2 linked regions of the Drosophila melanogaster genome follow. The protein of the gene in region 2 interacts with the protein of the main gene of each other region in a pairwise test. Each region holds a gene or a part of one and is shown on either strand. Other genes may lie near its edges.

Region 1 (5,027 bases), 2.2 Mb from region 2:
GGAATAATAAAAAAAACCAAGATGTTCCTCCAAAAAAGAGCAAATCATCATCATATGTACACGACGCTGGGGAGCTATTGCCCAAGCTCGTGCCACGCCCCCCGAAAAGGGGACCAAGGAGACCCGTGTCAGTCTGTCTGGACTCGCTCCAGTTCCGCCCACCGGCTTCCGGGCCGCAAAGTGCGGAGTCTGGGTTTTTTGTGGCCATAATTCCAGAGACGAATCGGCGAACTCGGACGTGGGTAGCCACCCACGGCCGTAATTACTAACCACCCACTGTCCCCTGGCCGCAAGCGTAAAAAACCGGGCGAAAATGTGATGACGTAGTTAGAGTGCTCGAGAGCCACCAGTGAATTGTTCGGCAACGCCCACCGCTCAGCGGGCGGTCAAATTCTGCGGTAATCATCGACGCGCCGGGGAATCTGAAATCCGGAACTGGTGCTAAGTGCTGACAGCAATCTGTAGTTTGGACAGCAGCCAGCCAGTGAACATAATAAAAAAAACTAATTTAATAAATGTTCGCAGTTTCTAGAGCATTGGAAATCAATAGAAATGGTTTATTTTGTTTAGAATGAAGAACATTCACTAGCAAAATGTATAAATATCATTTAAGGCGTACTCCATTATATCAATATGTGTACATTGTGTATGTTCGAGTTACGTATTTTGTAAACAAAATTAAACTAGGTATTTAGAATATTTCAGTTCAGTACTTTTAAGGTGAGCAAATATCATTGTAAAGCCAAACTTAGAAATAGTAATATAGAAACTTAGATATTATGAAACTGAACACAAAACAGGTCGACTGCAAAAGCTGGACCACAAAATATTCTAAAAAATTTCACTACGCATCCATTCTTAATGACTATTTCTAAACGTAGCCTCTAGCATGCACCTAAAGAACTAGAAAAATAGCCTTACACATGGCCTACAACTAGATTTGACTATGATCGCTTGCAGAAATGGCCAATTTACATAAATGTTCACAACATATCACAACATTGCAGAAGGGAGAGAACTTCACGAAATCGATCCTACAAGCGCTGCACACAGCGCCTCACCAGCTTCGCCTTGTGGTGGCACATGAATCGCAGCAGACAGACCACAAGCAGCAGACTCACTCCATATCCAATCACGAGAACCGCCCGCTTTCTTCTCTTCCAGCGCTGAAAGTCCCGCCAGGACTCGAACCGATTACGATATTGCGGCGGCAGCTCGAACTTGCTGCGTCTCGGAAAGAAGGAGAGGTAAAAGTCCTCGAGCAGATGGCGCACCATCTCGTTGTCTTCGCCTCTATTGGCATCCAGATTGTCGTTGATGCAGTTAAACTTGCGCGGATTCCGACGCAATCGGTCCAGTGACTCCACCACCTCCGTGAGATTCGATGTGAGCATCATAAAATTGCTGTGCGAAGTTCTTTTTGGGCTGACATGGAAGTTATATTTGGGTCGGACTGCAAAGTTTGCCGCCAAAGCTTCGGCCAGAAGTGGACATCGGACAACCAAATCCCTGGTTATTGTAGGCTAAAAGAGCAGTCAGCAATTAATATAAATCTGTAAGATATAATCATAAGTACTAACCAAATTAGAGTCCTCGTATCGCTCGTAGACCAGCGTGGAGTGTTCGACTGTGTCCACTTTTAAATGCATGCCCAGATTTCTTGTGCAGTTTTGAACCACCTCCTCGAAGTAGCGCATGGCAGACCAGTCAAGTGGCGGCTGATAGATGCGAGTGAGAAAGGTTCGCACCTCTCGATCCGACCAGGTGGCCGAACCGTCCGTGTCGAACTCATCGAAGATTTCCTCTACACTCATTACTTTGGTTTCGCTCATTAGGAAGGAGTAGTAAGCGAATGCGTACTGCAAATCTGTTGGGGCTCGGAAGCGCTGATGGGCAGTGTCCAGAATTTGCTGGTGAAAACGTCGCTGCATGGCCTCCACAATATCCTTGTCAATTAGGAAGCCCACGTGCGCCAGGACATGGCGTGCCTTAAAGCCATAGGCTCTATTCAGCAACATATTGGTGGCAATCAGCGAGTGAGAGTAAATATCGGTGGAAGACTTAAAATCCTCCTTGCGCAGCCCGTGGCGCTGAGTTGTCTGTGGCTCGGAGCTGGAGGTCTCCAGTTCGGGGTTCAGCGACATGAGTTTGGCCTTGTTAAAACGCTCCACAATGCGACGTAGTTCCTTGAGTGTGGACACATTGCGGTGCCGCATAACATCCTTAAAATTGGCAGAGCTGCGCCTGAACAGCTTTTGGAGACCCATCTGAGGAAATCGGTGGACTCTTGATTGTGGAACAGCGGCAGGCTGCACCTCGAGCACTTCTTTGCTTGGTGGAATGACGTGGGCATCGCTCGCTGGCCCAGTTTCACTGCAGTCGCCTCCATCAAATTGGCACGCATCAATGTTGCAGTGCCGATCGCAAGCTCCATCACCTATGTACGTCCAGGGGCAATCCAAGGCGCAGCCGGGCACCATCCATGCCTGGTACACGCGAACTCCCTCCGCTTCAGTGTACAAGTCCTCCGGATACAGCGGAGCTCCCAGGAATATGTCGTCGTTGAGGTAGAGGAACCTCTTGGACAGCTTTGGTATGCGGTGCAGAAATGTCTCGATGGCCGAGCTGGAGAAGGTGGGCAGCTGGTCGGGATCGGGAGCCAGGACTTCGTGGGGCACCACCGTGACCCTTTCGTAGCTGAGATCCAGCCAACTTGGAATCTGGCCATTGGTTACTATGTACACATGCCTGATCCATGCGGCGTGTTTTTCCAGGGACCTCAGAGAGTACCGCAGCTCATTCTTGTCATCGAACCGCGAGGGATCGTACTTGTCATCGAATCGCCGGATGTCCTCAATAAAGTTGGGATCCGAGCCATTGACCCACGTGTAAACCGCATCGATGGCAGTGCAGGCGCTGCTGAAGCCGCCGGTTTGGCCCTCCTCCGATGCGGACAGATAGTTGGCAACTACCCAGATAGCCAGGCAGAGTCCTCCAGTCACTAAAATTGAAAAAAAAAGAACATTAGTTAAGTAATGGGGCTGGTGAGCAAGGTAACTCACTCGTGAGCGCCAGCAGCTTCCGGCGGGACTGGAGACGCAGTTGTTCCATGGCACGCCGCATCCTTCGCGGCCAACGGCGGCGTAATCGCATTCTCAGGTCCTCAAATGGCACATTTCACACACAATTCCCGCAGTAAAATCATAACAAACATTGTTTTCCTGCGGGACAGTGTGGCCGTGCTAGAACTGCGTAAAATTACTAACTGGAAAGACTGAAATAAAAACTCGGTTCAAATCGAGCTTATAAAAGCAATCAGTATAAAACCCGAATTTCTTTAGATATTTAATTAAACTATTAGTAAGCAGTGCGAAATAGAACATACGGGTTTTAAAGAATCAACATGTGGAATTAACGGAACCGGTTCCGTTGACAGTTTCCAGCTGGAAAGGTGTGTGACTGCGCTAATTGGACACCGAAGATATGAACCTTATTTGACAAACTATACTTTCTTATAAGTATTAATTTTGAAAAGAAACCCAGTTAATGTCAGTTCCTGGTGCAAATATCCAATTAGGCTTTACTAAATGCTCTCAGAGTCGAATAATTTTTTTCTAGTATTTTCCTAATCTCACGCTTTTGGTATTTTTAGACAGCACTGCGGTCAGCTGGTGCGCATCACATGACCGTCATAAGGTTTTTTTTCTCACTGGAATAGGCGACGTCGAGCAAGGCAAAGCGAAAATTTTCACCACCATTTTTCGTTTGTAGTTTCAGTTCACTTTTCGGTTGGTTTTTAGTGCCTCTTGCGTTCTCCTTGGTTCCTTACTTATGCATTTTTCGTTCTCCTTTGTTTCCATTAAACCCCCACCGAAGTAAGCGAATCCAGCGCGATGTTGTGGAAATCGCTGATTGCGTTGTGCGTCATTGGGGCTGCCGTGGCGGAGCAAACGCCCGTCTTTTTGTGGGGAGCCAACAGGTGGGTGAGCGCCTGCACCAGTTGAATGTGAGTGTAACGAGTGCCTTCCTCCTTTTTTCACAGTGTGGCGAAACCCTCCCTGAAGACGGTGTCCCAAGTGGAGTTTGCCGAGCAGTTGGCTGCATTGCTGGAAGATCACATGGTCGTGGCCTTCGAGGAAAATGGCGTAAGTGCTTGAGAACCCACTTAGATAGCTAGGGCTTGTGACACATGTGTTTGTTCCCCAACTCAGCTGAGCAGCAAGGACTTCCTGTGCTCCAACTCCCAGGCGCAGTCCTGCTACGCCCAGCTGCAGGGAGTGAGCCCCAAGACCTACTACACCAGCGTGGAGAACCCCTCGGAGGCACTGCGCTCAGTGGCCGCCAAGCGCGAGCACAACTCCATCGATGCCAGTGGAAAGCTGACCACGCCGGCCAAGTGTGCCGTAGGTACGGCCCTGTTTGTGACCTTCGAGGACGCCGCCGAGAGCCGGGAGGCCAGTCTGGAGTCACATGGTGGGTCAACAATAACGTACTACAAAGGCGTCAATAAGACACACTAATTTAACAATGATTTAACACATTTAGACGCCGCCATAGCTGCTATCAGCAAGCAGTTCGAGTGCAAGGTGGCTTATCTGTACCTGGCCGCCCCCTCCACGGCTCCTGTGGTGCAGCGTCGTACCCGCCGTGACACCGCCGCCACAACCGGTGGCATCATGTGGAAGTCGACCAATCAGTTTCAGATCTTCTACACTGCCCTGCTCTACAACGGCAACCCCATCACCGTCACCGACCTCAAGCTCACCAACTCTAGCTCTACCAAGCTATCCGTTGTTATGGACACATCTGTCGCCGACAAGCCAATCACCTTTGACGTTGTTTATAATGGCGGATACTTTAGTCTGAGCAATTTGGTCTACGACAACAACAACTTCCGCTCCAGCGGCGTGAATGCCCCAACCACGTTCTCTTACTCGTGCGGCAACCTCACCCTCGAGTCCGCGGCCGTCAACAACATGTACAACACCCTGAGCTTCAAGTCCCTGCAGCTGCAGGCTCCCTTCGAT
Region 2 (7,722 bases):
TATTTTATATTAAGATACAAAATCGATAAACACCAGTTTGTTTCAGTTAATGTTTTCCACTTTATTGTGAGCGCATGAGAGTACAAGTAATTTTGTTGTAGATTGCATTTTAGGGCAGCTTACACATTAAATATTAGTTAGTTAAAAATGAATTTTGCATGAATAAATACATAAATACACACGAACGTAGAAGAACACGACATGTTTATGTTAGACACTGAAATGAATGGATTAAACACACAGATTTCATCTGTATCCCTAGATTCGAGTCGCAAAGATTTCTTTATATCTAGGCGTAGTCACGGGCTCCCTCCAGTTTGCGCATCTGCAAGTAAATAAATTGCAATAATACAAAATTTAGTTAGCTAATTAAACAGGGATGCAAACCGATCGAAATGGCGGACGGGTTCGGTTGATAGGATTGAAGAGTTTCTAAACCAATCGTATTCGGTTCACAAAAGCGGTTTAGATTAGTTTTGCGTGCAGGTCGTAATATCTTTAGTATACGAATATCTGCTGCTAAAGCGATAAAACATAACACATTTAATAGTTATAGTTAAGCGAGATATGTATATGCCAAATGGTTCGGGTTGTGGTTCGGTTTGCATCCCTGAAATCAAGTAATTCGGGAGTATTTACAATGCAAGTGTGAGTGAGTGTTTGTGTGTGTGATGGGTGTGTGTGTGTGTGTGTGTGTGTAATGGGTGGGCGGAATCACGGATCAGTAGAAGGACTCCTCGCTCCAGGCGCTTATCAACCTGACTCTCACCTCGCGTTCATCGGCGTGCGTTCGGTACTTCTCGGATGCCTCGTTAACCTTTGGCACGGGCTTCGCCTCCAGGACCTGGGTGTAGAGCAGGGCGGCAGCCACGCCCCCCAGCACAGGTCCCACCCAGTATACCCAATGCGACGCCCAGATGTCGGTGGCAAAGGCGGTGCCCACGGTGCGAGCGGGATTCATGCTGGCCCCGGTGTAGCGGATGGTGCCCAAGTGACCCAGGGTCACCGCCATTCCGATGGCCAAGGGCGCCGTGTAGCGGGAATCGGGCTTGTGGGGATCACAGGCCCCAAAGACGACGAGCACCAGCAGGAGTCCCAGGAAGAACTCGATTCCCAGGCCCTGCAGCTCGGTGATATTGGGCGCCAGAGAGGTGTGACCCAGGCCATTGTAATAGTCCTGATCGATGAGAATCTAATGTGTTGGTATAAAAAAAATATTTATATATAGATAGATAGATAGATTAGATTAGATATCTTAATCTTAAAAATAAATATAGCTCTTAGTTTTGTTGAGTATGTAAAAATACTTTAAACTATTAGATTTTAAGTTGATTCATTGAACTGGTGATTTCTACTAAATCATTTGTTTTTTAAAATGTGTAGTTTTTAATACAAAATAAAACCGAAAAATACGAGTATTTAATCAAAGTACTTTCTTGACATTGGCGTACCCGTATCATTTATCCACTCAACGAAAGAAAGTAATGGTCAAAACACAAGGCATTTTTAACCGCAACCGGATGTGAGGCAATCACAATAATAAACTTAATAACATGTATGTACATATGTGTCTCAGTGTGTTATTTTAAGAAAGCGAGATAAGCTCAAAAGCATTGCAAACAATCATCTTACAACGAGTAAGTATTTATATTTATTATTATTTATACATTTTTTTAATTGACTACATTTTGGATTTGATTTTGAAATCTGGCAGTTCTGATTGAGACACTTACAAGCCAAATGACTTTTCTTTGGCAATGCTGTTTTGTAGATATACCATAGAAGTAAAGATAGGTTAGATTTTTTTGTCATAATGACGACCTCTATATAATTGATGATGATGATATAAGAAATAGTGGAATCTGATGAGTATTTTGTTTTAATAATTTCACTCAGATGTATGTAATAATTTATGTGTGTAATGCCTACCTTAACCGCTGCAGTTCCGGCAATTGCACCCAAGCACTGGAAAACCACATAGAAAAAGGCTCTGATCAAGCTAATTCGTCCTGCGACCAACATTCCAGCGGTAACGGCAGGATTCACATGACCACCACTCAAGTGGCCCACAATCTGCAAGGATATATAGTTGAATATGGGTATGAATAATGTCGTAGATTAACGAGCCACCCACCGTGATGGCCATGAAGATAGCCAGGCCAAAAGCCAAGGCCTTGAAGGTGCCATCCTCAATTTGGGTGCATGCGCCGCAGGCAAAGAAATTGAGGATCAAATTGCCAAGGAATTCTCCAATCAAGGCCTGCCACAATCGCAGCTCCTTGGATTTGAGCTAGAAGACAAATTAATAAGTAAAGTAGCATTATTTAATGATATTTTTAATAACTGACTGGTATTTCGATTAAACTTTGTCTTTGTATGATTTGCACTCACCTCATTGAGACCCAGTGAGTATTCGAATTTTCCCATCTTCTTCGCTTCACTTTTCAACTAAAACTGACGGACTGAAAAAAAAGACCAACGGAAATATCAGTGAACGATGTCTGGTAGTTAATGCAAATGGCAATCCAAAATGCAAATGGAAATGTGTTTGAAAATGGAAGTGGACAATTGTCCGACTTCAGCAGGTATTTAGCCACTTTTATCACTCATTTAAGGTGCGATATTGTTTTGGCCTTTGGTGACAGTTTTGACAATCTGCATTTCCGCTGCAATTTCCGTCACGATGCCTAATTGGCCGACACTTCTGTCTGGTCTTCAATTGGAAAAGTCTAGGGGTTTTCATTTAACTCAAGGCTTGTGTCCCAAAAATTCTTAATCTACGTTTATTTATTAAATGCTCAACTTTAGCACTTGTCATTAAAAGTGGGTAACTGGAGGCAGCCAGTGGGTAACTGGGCAATCCTCCTCTCAACTCGACGACTGCCAGCTTATCAGCAATTGCAGCTGCATGTGAGAATATATATAAAACAAACAAAGTGTATAATATTTAATTGGCAACGGGTCATAAAAACGATGTAAATATTTGAGCACAACGCCGTCAGGAGTGAACAGAACTCGCAATTGAGTTTTTAACCGGCAGTTTTTGTAGCCGCGGGGGGATTAGGCCTGGTTTTTTTTTAGAGTGTTCTAGAGTGGCATCAGTGGAAAGCGTTTGCTTTGCTCTTCTTATTTGGCGCAACGCGGTCACGAACAGGCCCAAAAATGGGCTAAGACTTGTTGGCCATGCCCCCACACATCAAGAACATCGAGAGCTTTAAAAATACATACGAGTATGTATGTATAAAATAATTTATATTGCATATATCATTTCATTTGGTAATCAATCAGTGAGCGCTCAATGTTAATTCCCATTTTCTATGCTCGCAAAGCATTCAAGTTGTTCATCACTTCGAGTATTTACTTTTCTAATGCAATCTTAATGAATTTCGTGTTTCATTTGCGTCATCTACGAGCATGAGCCCCATATCGATATCAGCCAATAGACTCAAGTGCTCTGATATGAAAAAGCGAGTTCTATTCCTTAATTGAGGTGCAGGGGGTGCGCTGGATGATCAAATAGTAATTGAGTTGACTTAAGGTTGGGCCCACGGATAAGTGGAATGCCTTGCCATAGAGCGAAAATCTACCCACACAACAATTTCCATTGACTGGAGGTTTGAGGAAAACGGGGTAAAAACCTGAGAGTTTCAATATTTGTCATCGACCGTTAATCATGCATTGTGAAAACGGATTCAACAATTTGAGCATGTAATTATAATCTTTATTAGTTCCTATGAAATGCTTTAATTGGCCAGCTACTAACTGACATTCCGTAGTGCGGATTCACAGGTGCTGATTATCACTTTGGTTGCAGCTAATGAGAATGGTTAAATGGTGTATGTACAACCACAAGGTGTTGGGTCCTCGAATGAAAAATCTAAGCAATTAATCGGCTCTGATTAAAGTTTGCTTTGCGATTATTTCGGGCCGCAATTTATGGATGATAAGCTTGTTTTATAATTGGAAACCCAATATGCCCCTCACCAATTCTGGAATTTTCAATAGCGCGCCAACAAATGTGGCTAATTGCCAGTGTACAAGTGGGTCCGTGCCAATTCGCATAATATCCGAACAATAAAGTAAAAGTTTGCTCAACAAATTAGCACAAACGGCGAGAACAAAATCCACATAATTCACACATATTTTCGCACACACAACAAAGTCGAATGCATTTCAACGCATTTCGTTCTGATTTTCGTCATTCGAGGCATTTTTGTGACTTTCGAAACGTGTATGAACAAGGGGTTCATGAACTTGAACTCTCGCCGAATTGAACCGAGGGGCGGCTAAAAATGTGTTCCAATAAAATTTAATTATATGCAAATATTGAAGAATGTCGTTAAGAAAAATCGCCGCATACGCAGACATTCGTCATTAATTTAAAAACATGCCGATAACACGGGTATAAATCTCCCGTTTCTGAAGCTGATGAGCTAATATCTTTGGCTTTGCTTTCTTGATGTATTTTTATGGACTCTAAAAGCGAGTATACAAATTATCTTGACCACTTTTCAAGTGTTTTCGGTACTATTGCCGTTTTGAGTAGCATTTATTGGCATCAAAGTAATTACCAATATGGCAGTCACATGATCTCTAACTATTTTAGTGTTTTTTGAAAAAGTTAAGGGACAACAATGTAATGCAGACTATTAAAGCTTAGGAACTAGCTGTTAACTTTGCCTGAAATCAGGGAACTGGACTTCATATTCATTGTTTTTGAACTATTGTATCTGGCCTAGCTCCAATTGCGTTCGTCGCCTGATGGCATTTGGCGATATAGACGTTTGCAATTGTTTGCCGCAACTTTGTCACTTAAAAAGCCATAAAACTTACTTAAGCCCTAAATTTGTATGCAACGCCGAACGTGGGAGGGGCAGGAGCGATAAAAGTGGGGGGAAACCACACACACACAGAGGCAATTGCAAAGTTAATAGCCCAAACTCCCACACGTGTTCGGGGCCACAGTGAAGCCAGGCTTCTGATGGACATTCTTCACTTAAATTACCAAATCAGAGACCAGAAAATTGCTGCGGTCAACCCATCAATCACAAGTGTCAGATATGAAGCGAACTGAATGCCCCAAGCTCTGTAAGACCCATTACCATATCATCGGATCATGGCATTGCCGTACCTAAATAACAATTAGCCAATGAACACAATACCAAAACATATAGAAATCTTAAAAGCTTAAACAGATCGCACGACCGCATCGTTTCACGCAACGCTGGTTTCAAAATGAAAAGCACAATGAAATGTCCCAAATGTATGAATTTTCAAATACACATCTTTTGGCAAGAATAACATTTTATATTCGCGGCTTTTAATTACTCAGAATCGTGCTGGCGGTCAAAAGTAAAAATTGTACATAAATTGTTATATTTTTACGATTGACATGCGGGGGCGGTCTCACAAAATTCCAAAAATCATAACAAGAGGAAAACAGATCAAAGTAGATTTGATAAATGGCGAAGTAAGGGGTTAGAAAAAAATGCAAAACGGTATTACAGCATTAGTTTCGGTGCACAGGGAGAAACTTTAGTTACTTTGAATTATACTTGCTTAACTTAAATTATTAAATTTGTCACTATTTAGCTATATAAGCAATTACATTTCATTAGTTTATATTAAACTCAAAAACTAAATATAAATAAATCGATTACAAGCTTATAAATACACCATTAACAGCATAATATTGCAGGATAACTGATTTGATTAGATCTAAACTTAATTAAAAACATTAATAATACACATATGTTGAAATATTCTCTTTTTGATATGCCCATTTAAAGTTTATGTACTTTATGCATTTTCAAGATCACTTTCAATTAGAAGTTTACCTTGTTTTGCTATTAGCTCACTTTGGCACCTTTGCCACCTGCTTACGAACTCGACTTAACGGCAACAACAACAGCTAACACCTTAACTTGCACTTAACAAATATTTAATTCAATTCGGCAGGAATTGTTAGCTCACTCGAGGAGTGATCCGCGCACTTTGACTCGACGACAAAAACTGCGCGACCGCATTTGGCAGCAAAAAGCCAAAGGCACCAAAAACGATGGCGCAGAAAGAGCGCGATTTATAAAGAGAGAGGGGCAGAGAGATAAATTCATGCGAAGAGCGCACATTTATATTAATTAAATTATAAAAAACTAAATAATGTAATTATGCGTATTAACTAAATGTTTATATAAATGTGTAACTAATTATTAAAAACAAATTAGTTTTTATGAGCTTTTATGTTTACATTCTATACGCTTTAATATAAGCTTTATGCGTAAGTATAAGAAAGTTAATCAGAGAACTTATTCGTTTATAGATATATATATCAAATTCTTCATCGATTTAATTTAATTGCACTATCCAAAGTTTTGAAAGGGAATGAATTCGAAATTGTTTAGCTGCGCGGGCGCACCGCTTAAAAACACAACATGCCAGGCACCGAAACTCACCACACCCCACACGCGTCAGCCAAGACACAAACCATGCAAAAATATTAAATTGAAAATTCCGACCAATCAGTAAATTTATGGACTGCAAATAGTTATTTAGGGGTAATATTTACACCCACCCATCATTCACGTCAGACAGTGACGCTTGCAGAAAAGTTTCCGTTGCTTTTCGGTGTTCTTATCAGAGAAATCGGCCCAGAAATCATGTCTTCACAAACAATTTCTTTAATTAATTTAGTGTACTCCAAGCAGAGAATACCGAACTTTTCCATGACATTTTGACGTAAAATCAAATTCACTTTATCTTTATGGGTGTTGTCTTCGAAGTATATTTGCCATTTTAAATTAATAACCGCAAAATCGCAGATCACAAATCCAAGCACACTTTTATGAGGCCCTCATAAATGCGTATAATCACAATTTTATGACTGTGAGCTTGGTGTAAAATAAAGTGTAATCGTATAAGTCAAATATAAGAGTAGAAATGATCGAGATAGTACACCGAAAACAACGTAGGCACACTTTGTATGTATAGTTTGCTTACATTATGGTCTGAAACTGTTCGACCTTTATATATAACATTATTTTTATTATTATAAACTATTTTATTTTATTTTAATTTTATTTTCATTATTATCATAATCATAAAATGGCTAATTATTAGGGTAAATTCGCCAAAAAGTGTGTAATATTTAAAATTATATTGTGTGTAGACGAGTCTGAAAAGGTCATTCCTGGTTTTAAAGTTAATGTCACGTCTTTAGACTAGCGAATTTGGCTTAGATTAAAAATACCACTTAGCTTTATCTTAAGGTTTCCTGATTAGAAACATTATAGTATAGGCTATGTGTACTTCACTATTAGTTATAGATAATAACGGGTTTAATACTGATAACAAGTTAAATAAGAATAAGGCGGTTGAATGCAACACGTGCTGATACGGGTACAAAAATACTAATACACTTCACTCCGAATCGGATTGATAGAAACCTCCTAGTTAATTGTAATGATCATTCGCATTCTAAACTGACAAGCGTTGTAGTTATTTATTTATAGAGTTTCTCTTTTATTCAACATATTATTTTCTTATGTTACATTTCTTAAATCATAGTTACTGAAATTTTATAGCTTAACAAAGAATAGTTAATTATGTAAATTTTCGGATGATTAATTAGTGCGTTTATCGAAAACGACGACATTTTGTGATTCAACTACATGTGCTCAGCCCAGTTTTATCAAAAATATGCCTGGGAGAAACAAACAAGTATAA

Evidence for each region. Proteins that work in one complex are often made in the same cells at the same time.
Region 1: the proteins of Prip (region 2) and Gnptab interact in a two-hybrid assay, tested with the Drosophila melanogaster proteins (one large-scale study listed by BioGRID).

Annotation. Positions count from the first base shown.
Region 1 is NT_033778.4:9,203,872-9,208,898, forward strand, and holds Gnptab (N-acetylglucosamine-1-phosphate transferase subunits alpha and beta), read right to left. Parts: upstream 3,254-5,027; 5' UTR 3,154-3,253; coding exon 3,063-3,153; intron 3,002-3,062; coding exon 1,581-3,001; intron 1,524-1,580; coding exon 1,035-1,523; 3' UTR 539-1,034; downstream 1-538. Other genes in the region: VhaAC45 (vacuolar H[+] ATPase AC45 accessory subunit), read left to right, coding at 3,894-3,979, 4,043-4,145, 4,212-4,473, 4,546-5,027.
Region 2 is NT_033778.4:11,434,538-11,442,259, reverse strand, and holds Prip (prip), read right to left. Parts: upstream 6,018-7,722; 5' UTR 5,838-6,017; intron 2,463-5,837; 5' UTR 2,428-2,462; coding exon 2,392-2,427; intron 2,291-2,391; coding exon 2,135-2,290; intron 2,074-2,134; coding exon 1,930-2,073; intron 1,193-1,929; coding exon 770-1,192; coding exon of another isoform or gene 722-769; exon of another isoform or gene 640-721; intron 611-639; coding exon 557-610; 3' UTR 520-556; coding exon of another isoform or gene 499-519; 3' UTR 388-498; intron 326-387; coding exon of another isoform or gene 290-325; 3' UTR 44-289; downstream 1-43.